Anolis sagrei: one gene and its partner. The protein of the gene in region 2 interacts with the protein of the main gene of each other region in a pairwise test. Links are inferred from orthologs where the notes say so. Each region holds a gene or a part of one and is shown on either strand. Other genes may lie near its edges.

Region 1 (6,130 bases), on a different chromosome or scaffold from region 2:
GATAAGATGGCCAGGACATCTGGGCATTGGAGTCCCAAACACCTTTTGCCATAGCCTCAGTTTGAATTGTCTGCTGTACATTCGTGCTCCAAAATGCCATTAAGAGACTACAAAATTTGGGAAAGGTACTTTTTGGATTATAACTCCCAAAACCATTGACTACGAAATTCTGGGAACTGAGGTTCAAAGGTAACTTTCCCACCCTCTGAGGTATAAAGGGGGAAAAATCACGCATCCAAGGCCCAATTGCCCAATGAATGTCAAATATTCCCAGCTCTATGAAGAACAACAGGACCCAAACACTGTGCTGACCCCTTACAATGTAGTTTTGAAATAGAGCACCCAAGGCATTAGTATATCAAATTAATATTCCATTATGTAATAAAAGTACTTCTGGGGGAAAGAGAGTGAGGTTGCTTATTTGAAACCATGCATTTTGAGAGCAAATGGTGTAAGTCTCAACAGCAGTATAGGAGCATTACACTCGTAGGCAAGAGGGTCCTTTAAGTTAGTTTCTTTTCTCCATCTTCATTCTCTAGTTCTGACATTCTGCCTACAGATTTAAGGAGCTCAGCAACGAGGCTCAGTGTTTCAGCTCCAAAAACCAGCTGGTTGATGGTGGCATGGGCATGGTTGGTGACCCGGAGGAGGTTCTGCAAAGCAACATCAACATGCTGTTTTACTGCTCCCATGTTGGTGGACTGGCCAGATCTCAGGCTTTCATTCTCCACTTTGTAGCAAGTCAGCTCAGCCTGGAGTAGTGCCATCTCTTGCTTCATCTTCTCCATGTCACTTTCTGCCTTCAGAGCTCTTTGAGTCATGCACTGGAGGCTTTGTTCTGCATGTTGTACCAATGCTTCCAAATCCTGAGCCTCTTTCTCCTCTTTGTTCATAGTGGCTTGGAGCGTCCTCTCAAGATTTCTTACCATGTGTGTCTGGCTTTCAGAGTAGTTCTGGATCCTCTTGATCTTCCTCCTCAACATGGAATTTTCCTCCTTCAGCTCTTGGTAGCTCAGCTGTGGAGACACGTACTCGATTTCCTCTATAGGTTCTTCACGGGCAGCCATCTTGGTATGAGAAGGACACCCAATACATGGTTCATTGTCAGTGAATGGCCATGAAGAGAAAGCCTCCATCCCTGAAAGGCCAGCAGAGTTGTAATTATATGGGTCACACGGGATCATGTTGGCCAGTCTGGCTTTGTCGTACCTTTCTCTCCAATCATCCTCATCGTCAACCTCTAACAAATGATCAACAACAGTCTCCTCCTTGTACAAAGGCTCTTGAAATTCTAAGCTCAAGCCCAGTGGTTCTGGAGACAGAGAAACATCTTCAAGACCAAGGCTCTGCCTGGCCATTTTTCTTCGGTTACTTCTGTTTTTGGCTTCGTGTTGTCTCACCGCACCACGGTTCTTATTTTTGGGCCCTTTCAAAGGAAATGCAGATGGATTGTTTGGGTATTTCACTGGGTTGTCTCCAGAGCTGACGTGGCTCTTGAAGTTGTCTGCTGGAGGAGGTGATAAGTGGTGATGGTGGTGGTGGTAGCAGGGCTGGGGTTCTTCTTCTTCTTCCTTCTCTTTCAGGCCTCGGGACTGTGAGCAGCCTGTGAGAACTGGCCGTGGCATTTTGTGGGCACAACTGCCTTCTATAGAAGTTGCATCCTTCCAGTCTTAGCACCAGGCCAGGTCCCACTTCTCCTCAAGCAGTTTAGCCAGCCCTTGTTGAATATAGTGCCAGTGCTGTTGGCCTCAGTTCAACGGCCCGCTGAAGCATCTGAATCTATACCTTCATGCACACGTCTCTTTAACAGTGGAGGAAGCAGAGGTTACCTGGATCTATGATGTCACCAACTGACAATACTTCATTTTGTGACTTCACAGGCTTGAGAGAGGCAAATAGCTAGAACAGTTTTTACAGCTTTTTTACCCATGTCTAGTTATGAGCGGTAGGTTGAGTTCACATCTGATACTGTATCTGCTATTATAATCTTATCCTATTTTTTGATGTAACATGGGATAGTCTACTGTATCAGGCCCTGTCTTCAGTGCCAGTAACTATCTGAAATACTGTTTCAGCTATAGATCAAGGGAGACTTACAGGTAAGCTGAATCTTGTTGCTTTGTTGAATGAAATTAAAAGGTGGTGGAGAGAAAGAAAGAAGGTATGATTACAAAGTCCAATAAAAATTATTAGTGTCTTTTGGGTTTTAGGCCTGTTTCTGGGATTATTTGGGATGCTGATTCAAAAAATAGTAATGGGTTTAGGGAGCTGGAGAATCTCTATTTTGACAATAGTTGACATCTTTTCATGACCTCACAACCTCTGAGGATGCTTGCCATAGATGCAGGTGAAACATCAGGAGAGAATGCTTCTAGAACATGGCCATATAGCCCAAAAAACCTACACCAACCCAGTGATTCCAGCCATGAAAGTCTTCGACCATACATGTCTGTAATGTTCACTGAGTTCTGCCATTTGTGCTATAATAGAATTGCTATAACTGAAATATTATATGTCCAGGGACAACAGCAAGAAGTTATGGTGATGTACAGTGCCAGACCCTGAGAACATTCTCTTAAGCAGCAAACAAGCTCTGCATACATTCTGTGTTGGTCGCATAGACTTCAAATGAAGATGACAATGAATGCATTAGATATTGTTCATGCACAGTGTTGCTGTCTGAGTAACTCTGAAGTTCTGTGAAAAATTATGCTTGAAATTAACTTTATCTTGTCTTGATCAGTGCTGTGTGTGGGTTGAACTGAAAGCAGCACTGGGATTTAATAGCTCCATTGGCCAAAATTATTGTTTGTTATTTGTTTGCCTTCCTATTCAGTTTCAGAGTTCATTCCAGCTTCACATTTCACTTGGAAAATACATTAGGGCTGATATTTCAATCCTACCAAACAATGGGAAATATTTTCCTTTGCTTCTTCACCACAGTTCCTAACCTACAACAGCACCATTACTTTGTATTCACATTTGTATTGAACTAGAAAACCTGCCTTGATTCTCCTTCCTGGAGAATCTGATGATAACTATCTAAATTAAGTACAGATCAATAGTTTCTTTTGTTAGGCAAAACATGACTGCCATTTTCTCAATCAAAATTGCCTCCTTTATTATCAGATTCTTCTGTTTTCATACATTTCCCCCACAAATGCATTTAGATCTCTATCTCTGTCTGTGTGTGTCTCTTAGGGAGCTGGATACTAGCCTGTATAGCCTCGTGAATGCCTATTAACATATGTGATGCACAGCTTGTGATCCACACAAATTAACACACAACCCATCAGCTATGGATCGTGAACTCACCATCTGCTTGATAAACGTCTTGATTTCATTACCTGCTTGGGAACTGAAAATTAAAGAAAGGTCCGTGGACCACCAGTGGTCCACAATAATAAAAATATGGTCCACGGCCTCACCATTACTACACCGTTGCCTCGAAACCACAAGACAGTGAGAGCGACCAATCTCGCAAAACCCTCTTATAGTGCCAAGGTAATGGAGATGTCATGAGGGGAAAGGCTGACTTCCCATGAAATATTGCATTGGCCCTAGATTATTAAATATGGTTTTCTGTGGGTGAGCAGATGGTGACTACTAGATGGCATATGTTCTGTATCAGAAACTAGAGGTGATGTTGTCTATCCAATACAATTTTCTGTATCAGCACCCCAAATAACCAAACCGAATCTAAAGTTGACCAAAAACTGATCTGTAACCCTTTTGGTACTAATGTTGGAGAATGATCTTTGGTCAACGTGGTCAAGTGGTGCATGGTCAAAAAAGGCTGGGAACCACTGCTATATATGAATAAATAACCTTAAAGCAAGAAATACAGTGAATTGTGAATTGCTTTCCACTATGCTTTTTATTTACAACTGGTGTCCATTTAGTCACTCACACATGTGCCATTCTGTTGCAAGTAGTCAGGCCAAGAATGTTTACTCAGAAGTCAATCCCACCATAAGGCCAAATCAACACATTATGGGGAATCTTGTAGGTATTATCAGCTCATTGCCCTAGTATCTCCCTGGTTACCTGTAGTTTTGTGTGTGTGTGTGTAGCGACTTGAATAACTGCAAGTTGCTTTAGGTGTGAGAGAATTGGCCAGGGGGCACCCAGATGTTTTTGATGTTTTACCATCCTTGTGGGAGGCTTCTCTCATGTCTTCACATGGGGAACTGGAGCTGACAGAGGGAACTCATCCGTGCTCTCCCCGGATTTGAACCTACGACCTGTTGGTCTTCAGTCCTGCCGGTACAAGGGTTTAACCCATTGCACCACCGAGAGCTCCTCCCTACCTGTAGTTATAGACTGGTAGGAAGCTGGGCTAGTCAACAGCATGTTGTTCTCTTCAGAAAGAACAATCACTTCACCCCTGCCACTGTATAACATCAAAGGCCAGTCAAACTAAAACTTCCACAAGCACATCTGTTTAAGAGCAAACACTGTGTACTGTATCATCCATAAATTAATGACTGTCTTACACAACTAACTGATGAGCTAACTACAGGCAAACATCCAACTTAGAAACATCCAACTTACTAACGACTTATAGTTAAGAATGGGGTGAGACAACAGGAAGTGAGTGAAAGCTACCCCACGGAAGGGAAATTCACTCCTGAAAGAGGAGTTATCATGGGAGAAAATTTGACTTGTTTCCATAACAAGTCAAATTTTTCAAAATCCAGCTATCACAAGAACAGAAAGTGAAGTGAAATCCTCTGAACGGGGCACAGATAACAAAACAAACTCCACAGGGGTGTGCTCACTCTTCCTTATGCTATCCAAAGCCCCCCCCCCCCCAATATATATTTGTTGTTGTTCATTCGTTCAGTCGTTTCCGACTCTTCATGACCTCATGGACCAGCCCATGCCAGAGCTCCCTGTCGGCCATCGCCACCCCAGCTCCTTCAAGGTCAATCCAGTCACTTCAAAGATGCCATCTTGCTTTTGGTCAGCCCCTCTTCCCTTTTCCTTCCATTTTCTCCAGCATAATTGTCTTCTCTAAGCTTTCCTTTCTTCTCATGATGTGGCCAAAGTACTTCATCTTGGCCTCTAATATCCTTGCCTCCAATGGGCAGTCGGGCTTCAACTCAAATTCAACTCAAGAACAAACCCACACAACCTATCTTGTTAGTAACCTGGAGACTGCCTGTAATTCAAGAACTAGCTTGATAGGGACAGGTTGGCAACACCCACATGATTAGGTTCTTGTGAGTTTTTTCGGGCTATAGAGCCATGTTCTAGAGGCATTTCTCCTGACGTTTCGCCTGCATCTATGGCAAGCATCCTCAGAGGTATGAGGTCTGTTGGAATTAGGACAATGGGTTTATATATCTGTGGAATGGCTGGGGTGGGGCAAGGAGCTCTTCCCTGCTGCAGTTAGGTGTTAATGTTTAGCTTAGGTGTTAATGTTTAGTTAGGTGTTAATGATTCCTTGTATGTAATATATAAGTTTGGCCTGCGTTTTATAGATTTCTGTTATTCAGGGAGTGAGGCCAGTGTATATTTTTGCTCTTTCCATTAAGCTAGGATAATTGCCTCCCCCCCCCCTTTGTCTTCTGCTGTCCAGTATGTGATCCCTGATTGGCTGGGATCATAATACAGAAGTTTTTTGAACATTTTTTAAAAAGCTTAGAAATATAGCGCACACCCAACTCTTTCTTCTAGAGCACAAAATGATAACTTCCACATGCTTCAACTACTCTTAGTTTTGGGCACACGTTGAAATCATACTAATTTCTGCATGTCTTCTTTGTAGACTTGGATTTAGTAGTGTGTGTCATATATATTCAAAGTTTATGTGTGTTATATATATATTCGAAGTTTTATACCAGCCATAATACAAAACACTTTGATTAACTGCTGACCTTGCTGAACAAAAAGTCAGCAGTTTGAATCTGGGGAGTGGAGTGAACTCCCGCTGTTACCCCCAGCTTCTGCCAACCTAGCAGTTCGAAAACATGCAAATGTGACGAGATCAATAGATACCGCTTCGGCAGGAAGGTAACAGTGCTCCATGGAGTCATGCTGGCCACATGATCTTGGAGGTGTCTATGGACAATGCTAGCTCTTTGGCTTAGAAATTGAGAGGAGCACCACCCTCCAGAGTCAGACA
Region 2 (8,024 bases):
ATTACCACCTCACCCACCTCATAGGAAACCTGCGACAAAACAAGACCTTTTTTGTTGAGTTTCAGGGCCAGAGAAGAAGATGGCGCCAGAAACAGAAGAACGGCCTGCCTCAGGGAAGTGTGCTTGCTCCATCCATGTTCAACATCTACACAAATGACCAGCCACTGCCAGAAGGGACAGAGAGTTTCATCTATGCAGATGATTGTGCTATCATCGCTCAAGCAGGGAGCTTTGAGATGGTAGAACAGAAGCTCTCTGAAGCTCTAGATGCCCTTACCGCATACTACAGGGAAAACCAGCTGATCCCTAATCCATCTAAAACACAGACATGTGCTTTTCACCTTAAAAACAGACAAGCATCCCGAGCTCTGAGGATCACCTGGGAAGGAATCCCACTGGAGCATTGCAGCACACCCAGATACCTGGGAGTCACTCTGGACCATGCTCTGACCTACAAGAAGCACTGCCTGAATATCAAGCAAAAAGTAGGTGCTAGAAACAATATCATACGAAAGCTGACTGGCACAACCTGGGGATCACAACCAAACACAGTGAAGACATCTGCTCTTGCACTATGCTACTCTGCTGCTGAGTACGCATGCCCAGTGTGGAACACATCTCACCACACTAAAACAGTGGATGTGGCTCTTAATGAGACATGCCGCATTATCACGGGGTGCCTGCGCCCTACACCACTGGAGAAATTACATTGTTTAGCCGGTATCGCACAACCTCTAGTGTGATAAGGTTTATAGAGGGACATGTATCGCTGGATGGTTGGGGAGATAGACAGACAGACAGATAGATAGACAAATAGGAGTCAAGTATCCAGACAGAGGAAAGTAATAAAGGAAATGCTTGACAATAGTAAAAAATGAACATGAGCCAAGAGTGTGCCGAAGCAGCAAAAAAGGCCAATGTGATCCTAGGCTGCAGGAAGTTGGACAGTCGCCTGTTCTGCCTGGGAGCCTGTGTGAGTCTCCTTCGCTATAGGCTTTGAATCAGAGGCTGGGTGGCCAGCTGCCAGGAGGGGTTGGGTTGTGCTTTCCCTGCCGGGTGGAAAGAAAAGGTTGGACTGGGTGGCCTTTGGGGGTCCCCACCCAACCTTAGAATCCTATGAAATCGGATGTGTACCAGATCTGGAGTTTGATCTTTTTCCCATCGAGGTCAATTGTCCTGATCTTGAAGTCAATGCCTGCAAAAGAGAAGCGGGGTTACCATCTGGGGGATCTCACAGGGTGAGATCTTGTGTGGAGCCCCAGATTGAGGGAGATTATCAGCAGTCTTGTATCTCTTCCATTTCCTACGGTTGATGTCTTCACATCAAGCCGCTTGCCTATTGCAGTTTCAGTCTTCCCAGTCTGGTGCAGGGCGACAATTTTGTTTCTGGTGTCCTTCGACAGCTCTTTGGCCTTCACCAGAGTGGAGTCTGGAGTGTGACTGCTTCAGGTTGTGGACAGGTGTCTTTTAGACTGATAACAAGTTCAAATAGGTGCCATTACTACAGGAGGGCAGAGGAGCCTGTCTATGAGACCCAGAAATCTTGATGTTTGTAGGTTTTGTTTTTGTCGTGTCAGGAGCAACCTGAGAAACTGCAAGTCGCTTCTGGTGTGAGAGAATTGGCCATCTGCAAGGACATTGCCCAGGGGACGCCTGGATGATTTGATTTTTTTTCATCCTTGTGGGAGGCTTCTCTCATGTCCCCGCATGAGGAGCTGGAGCTGATAGAGGGAGCTCATCTGCCTCTCCCCGGATTCGAACTTGCGACCTGTCGGTCTTCAGTCCTGCCGGCACAGGGGTTTAACCCACTGCGCCACCGGGGGCTCCTATAATAACAATAATAATAATAATGGAAGAGACCCCCGTGTCTTCCAGCATCTGAATAATAATAATAGTAATAGTTGGAAGAGACCCCCAAAGGCCATCCAGCCTCTACATAATAATAATAATAATAATAATAATAATAATAATAATAATAATAACAACAACAATAATGGAAGAGACCCACGTGTCATCCAGCATCTAAACAATAATAATAATAATAATAGTAATAGTAATAGTTGAAAAAGACCGCTAAAGACCATCCGGTCTCTGCATAATAATAATAATAATAATAATAATAATAATAATAATAACCCACTGCGCCATCGGGGGCTCCATTGTTTGTAGGTGACCAAATACTTATTTTCCACCATAATTTGCAAATAAATTCATTAAAAATCAGACAATGTGATTTTCTGGATGTGTTTTCTCATGTTGTATCTCATAGGTCTACCTATGATGTCAATTACAGGCCCCCGGTGGTGCAGTGGGTTATACCCCTGTGCCGGCAGGACTGAAGGCCAACAGGTCGCAGGTTCGAATCCGGGGAGAGCACGGATGAGCTCCCTCTGTTAGCTCCAGCTATTCATGCGGGGACATGAGAGAAGCCTCCCACAAGGATGATAAAACAGCCAGGTTGTTAACAGGAGTGGCACTCAGGGAGCACACCACTCCTCTGTTGCGTCAACTCCACACAATTCCGGGCACAATTCAAAGTGCTGGCTTTAGCCTTTAAAGCCCTAAACGGTTCTGGCCCGACCTATCTGTCCGAACGCATCACCCCCTATGAACCAGTTAGGACATTAAGATCGTCCGGGGAGGCCCTGCTCTCGATCCCGCCAGCCTCACAGGCACGGCTGGCGGGGACGAGAGACAGGGCCTTCTCAGTGGTGGCCCCTCGGCTGTGGAACGCCCTTCCCGCAGACATTAGGTCGGCCCCCTCCCTGCTGACGTTCAGAAGAAGAGTGAAGACCTGGCTCTTTGAACAGGCGTTTAATTAAGCAGTGCAATTAACTGATTGATCTTGGAACTTGGAATAATGGACGAGGAAATCGGATTATGACTTTACTGATGAGACGTGATGAGTTAGTTATTATGGATGTATTGATGTTATATTGATGTATTGATGTGCTGTTATATTATTTATTTATTTATTTGCTTTATTTCTATACCGCATTTTTCAGCCCTTAACAGGCGACTCAATGCGGTTTACATGGTACAATTATCAAACAGTGTCAGTGCAATTAAAACATAACAATGGAACAAACAGGATCAACAGCATCAATCCACAACAGTTAACAATCAACAAGACAGATCAACAAAACAGACATAACATAACGCCTCAGTTGAAATCAGATCCGTTCTCATAATCCTTGTGCCATTCCTATGTTCCATTTACCGTCTTCCTATGATTGGTTGCACTGCTTAACCAAACGCTTGTTCATAAAGCCAGGTCTTAACCATTCTCCGAAACGTCAGCAGCGAAGGTGCCTGTCTGATGTCTGCCGGTAGGGGCCACCACTGAGAAGGCCCTGTCTCTCGTCCCCGCCAAGCGCACCTGTGACGCAGGCGGGATCGAGAGCAGGGCCTCCCCAGACGATCTTAATGTTCTGGTCGGTTCATAGGTGGAGATGCGTTCGGAGAGGTAAGCAGGGCCAGAACCGTTTAGGGCTTTATAGGCTAAAGCCAGCACCTTGAATTGTGCCCGGTAGCGGATTGGCAGCCAGTGGAGCTGGTTCAGCAGAGGAGTGGTATGCTCCCTGAGTGCCGCTCCCGTTAGCAACCTGGCCGCCGAGCGCTGGACCATCTGAAGCTTCCAGGCAGTCTTCAAGGGCAACCCCACGTAGAGCGCGTTGCAGTAATCAATCCGGGATGTAACCAGAGCGTGGACTACCGTGGCCAAGTCAGACTTCCCAAGGTACGGGCGCAACTGGCGCACAAGTTTGAGTTGTGCAAATGCTCCCCTGGACACCGCCGAAACTTGGGGTTCCAAGCTTAGCGAAGAGTCCAGGATCACACCCAAGCTGCGAACCTGCGTCTTCAGGGGGAGTGTAACCCCGTCTAACACAGGCTGTAACCCTATACCCTGTTCGGCCTTGATGTAGTTGCCTTAGTTACTGTTTTTAAATGCTAGTGTTGTGCACTTTGTATATTGACCTGGTTGTAAACCGCACTGAGTCGCCTACGGGCTGAGAGAGTGTGGTATACAAATAAAGTAAATAAATAAAACATCAAAAAATCATCCAGGCATCCCCTGAGCAACGCCTTTGCAGCCGGCCAATTCTCTCACACCAGAAGCGACTTGCAGTTTCTCAGGTTGCTCCTGACAGGACGAAAAAAAATACAGGCCTCTCTCATCTTTTTAAGTGGGAGAACTTGTACAATTGGTACCTGACTAAATACTTCCCCCCTCCCTGCATATATATATATATATATATATATATATATTCTCAGTTATCCAGGGAAACCCTCAAGCAACTGACAAAAAAACCTACATCAAAGACAGAATGCTTCCAATGCATCACTTTCAGAATACACTAAACCAGTAAGAAGCCTGTTGCATCCAGCTTGCCCTAACCAAGCGCAGAGTGGATGCCCTGGGAGATGGTCCAGCATGAGGCCTACTTGGAGCCCATTCTCCCCTCAACCGGAAGAGGAGCCCTACTGCTCTCCAGCTAGAAGGTGGGCGTTCGTTGCCATGGCGACCGGGAGGTGGGTCCGGGGCGTCGCCATAACAACCCCTCCCTCCCCTCCCTCAATCCCACCGGTTGCCTGGCAACGACGCACCGATGGTGGAAATGAACGTGGCGTTGAAGGCGTCCTCGCTGAAGCGGAAGAGCGCGCACGTCTTGCCCACGCCGGAGTCGCCGATCAGCAGCAGCTTGAAGAGGTAGTCGTAAGTCTTCGCCATGTCTTCCTAGGCCTGCGAGGAGCCGCCGCGGCTCGCGATAGGCCCACGTCGCTGTCCGTCAGAACGCGCCGGACTCCCATTGGCTTGGCCGTTCGCCGGCGCACTCCTCCTCGAGCAGGAAGAGTGGGGAAACTTGTGATTGGCTGCGTCGGCGCTAACGTCCCGCCCATTGGCTAGAGAAACTTGCAATTGGTCCGTGCGCTGGATGACGTCAATAAGGAATGAGGCTTGTCCGCTCTAGAGTGGGGAAACTTGCGATTGGTGCGTGCGCTGGCTGACGTCACGGTGTGGTCCGCCCGTTGCTTGTCTGGCCGGAAGCGGAAAAGGAGCTCCGGCGCCTGCCGCGGATCCAAGATGTCCGCCAGCGCCGTCTACGTGCTGGACCTGAAGGGAAAGGTGAGGTTTCCTCTCTTCACCATTCTTCTTCTTCTTTTGTGATTGTTATTAGGTGTACTTGGCTTTGGACCTGCCTTGTAACCTGTCCTTCTAGGCTGGCTGTACTGTTATGGCAGATGAGGAGAAACGGGTTTTAGTTGGGGCCTTTCCCCCTTCCGTTGCCTTAATTCGCTCTACGAAAGCTGACTGGCACAACCTGGGAATCACAACCAGATACAGTGAAGGCATCTGCCCTTGCGCTTTGCTACACAGCTGCTGATTATTTATTTTATTTTATTTATTATTTAAACTTATATGCCGCCAATCCCCTGGGGCTCGGAGCGGCTTACAAGAATAGCTAAAATCTAACAAAGTTTAAAAGCAATTTAAAACAATTTAAAAACAACAGTATCAAACATTAAAAGCCTGTTGAAACAGGTATGTCTTACATGCTCTGCGGAAAGCTGGTAAGTCCCGCAGGGCACGAACTTCAGGTGGCAGAGTATTCCAGAGTGATGGGGTAACTGCTGTAAAGGCTCTGCATCTGGTTGCTGTTAGACGCAAGGTCTTGACACTGGGGGCTTCCAATAGATCTTGGTCCTCAGAACGGAGGGATCTCTGGGGTTGGTAGGGGGTGAGGCGGTCCCTCAGGTACATTGGCCCCAGACTATGCAAGGCCTTAGAGGTGAGTACCATCACTTTGAAAGTGATCCGGTGCTCAATTGGTAACCAATGCAGCTGCAGTAAGATTGGAGTTATGTGGCATCTCATCAGAATTCCCGCAAGAAGCCGAGCAGCTGCATTTTGTACCAACTTGAGCTTCTGAATCACCAACAGAGGGAGGCCAATGTAGAGGGTGTTACAGTAGTCCAGTCTTGAGATGACCGTGGCCTGGATCACCGTAGCTAGGTCGTCCCTGGACAGGTAGGGGGCCAGCCGTCTAGCCTGCCGCAGGTGAAAGAAGGCGGTTCTGCTCACGGCGGAGACCTGGGCCTCCATTGTCAGCAGAGGGTCCAAAAGGACTCCCAGACTCTTTACCAATGATGACGGGCGTAACGCCTCGCCATCCAAGGTGGGCAGATGGATGTCCCCACTGCCCGGTCCACCCAGCCATAGGATCTCCGTCTTTGCTGGATTCACCCTCAACCTGCTGGCACGCAGCCATCCAGTAACAGCCTCGAGGCACTGATGGAAACAATCGGGTACAGAGTCCGGTCGGCCTTCCATCTTCAGCACCAGCTGAGTGTCATCGGCATACTGATAACACTCAAGCCCAAAACCTCGAACCAGCTGAGCAAGTGGTCGCATATAGATGTTAAACAACAGAGGGGAGAGAATGGCCCCCTGAGGAACCCCACAAGATAGAGGGGACCTCTCAGAGACCAGGCCTCCCCTCTCCACTCGCTGTCCACGGTTGTGAAGAAAGGAGGACAGCCAGTTTAAAGCTGCCCCCCTGACTCCAGCAACATCAAGGCGGTGGGTCAAGAGATTGTGGTCGACTGTGTCAAATGCTGCTGTGAGATCCAATAACACAAGCAGTGCTGACCCGCCCTGGTCAAGCTGGCATCGAAGGTGATCCATGATGGAGACCAGCACAGTCTCTGTCCCATGCCCCGCACGGAAGCCGACTGGAAGGGTTCTAGTCCGGCTGTGTCGTCAAGGAATTGCTGCAACTGCTCCGCTGCTGCCCTCTCAATCACCTTGCCCAGGAACAAGAGATTTGAAACTGGGCGGTAACTGGAGGGAACCGAGGGATCTAAATCTGGTTTCTTCAGCAAAGGAGAGACCACCGCCTCTTTTAAACCCTCTGGAAAGACTCCTTGCTCAAGGGAGCTGTTTATAATCTTCAACAGAGGGTCACGTGATCCCTCCAAGCAGGATTTCACCAACCAAGAGGGACACGGATCGAGGGAGCAAGTGGTCGGTCTAGCTGCAGCTATGAGCCTATCGACAGCCCCTGCATCCAGTGGGATGAACCGGTCGAGGATGGGCCCAGCAAGTGGCCACGGGGTCTCAACTGCATTCCCAGTGTGGAACACATCTCACAACTGCGTTGTTGTAGGCGTTTGGGGGCTATATGACCATGTTCTGGAGGCAATTTTTCTCCTGACGTTTCACCTGCATCTGTGGCAGTGGTTCTCAACCTTGCTAATGCCGTGACCCCTTAATGCAGTTCCTTATGTTGTGGTGACCGCAAACCATAATATTGTTTTCGTTGCTACTTGATACTTGTCATTTTACTACTGTCATAAATCATAATGTAAATATCCGATATGAGGATGGATTTTCATTAACTGGAGTAAATTGAGCACAAATACCCAATATGCCCAAATGTGAATGCTAGTGGGGTTGGGGAGGATTGATTTTGTAATTTGGGAGTTGTAGTTGCTGGGATTTATAGTTCACCTGTAATCAAAGAGCATTCTGAACTCCACCAGCGATGGGTTTAAACTGAACCTGGCACACAGAACTCCCATGACCAACAGAAAACCCTGGAAGGGTTTGGTGGGCATTGACCTTGAGTTTGGGAGTTGCAGTTCACCTACATCCAGAAGAGTGCTGTGGATTCATGCAATGATGGATCTGGACCAAACTTGGCATGAATACTCAATATGCCCAAATGTGAACACCGGTGGAGTCTGGGGAAATTGACCTTCACATTTGGGAGTTGTAGTTGTTGGGATTTACAGTTCACCTACAATCAAAGAGCTCCACTGGCTACCGATTAGCTACCGAGCCCAATTCAAAGTGCTGGCTTTGACCTTTAAAGCCCTAAACGGTTCTGGCCCTACATACCTATCCGAACGTATCTCGGCCTATCAGCCCACCAGGACCCTAAGATCTTCAGGAGAAGCCCTTCTCTCCATCCCGCCTGCTTCACAAGTGCGGCTTGCGGGAACGAGAGATAGGGCCTTTT

Evidence for each region. The genes of interacting proteins can lie anywhere in the genome.
Region 1: the proteins of AP1M1 (region 2) and endosome-associated-trafficking regulator 1-like interact in binary tests that used the Homo sapiens proteins (3 or more experiments, as listed by UniProt). The two-hybrid records come from large-scale screens. The link is inferred for Anolis sagrei from reciprocal best matches to the Homo sapiens genes AP1M1 and ENTR1.

The regions. Positions count from the first base shown.
Region 1 is NC_090025.1:164,068,004-164,074,133, reverse strand, and holds endosome-associated-trafficking regulator 1-like, read right to left. Parts: upstream 1,626-6,130; coding exon 504-1,625; downstream 1-503. UniProt on the Homo sapiens protein: Endosome-associated protein that plays a role in membrane receptor sorting, cytokinesis and ciliogenesis. Involved in the endosome-to-plasma membrane trafficking and recycling of SNX27-retromer-dependent cargo proteins, such as GLUT1.
Region 2 is NC_090034.1:59,407,815-59,415,838, reverse strand, and holds the start of AP1M1 (AP-1 complex subunit mu-1), read left to right. Parts: upstream 1-5,024; 5' UTR 5,025-5,086; coding exon 5,087-5,128; intron 5,129-8,024. Other genes in the region: RAB8A (ras-related protein Rab-8A), read right to left, coding at 1,135-1,195, 4,609-4,732. UniProt on the Homo sapiens protein: Subunit of clathrin-associated adaptor protein complex 1 that plays a role in protein sorting in the trans-Golgi network (TGN) and endosomes.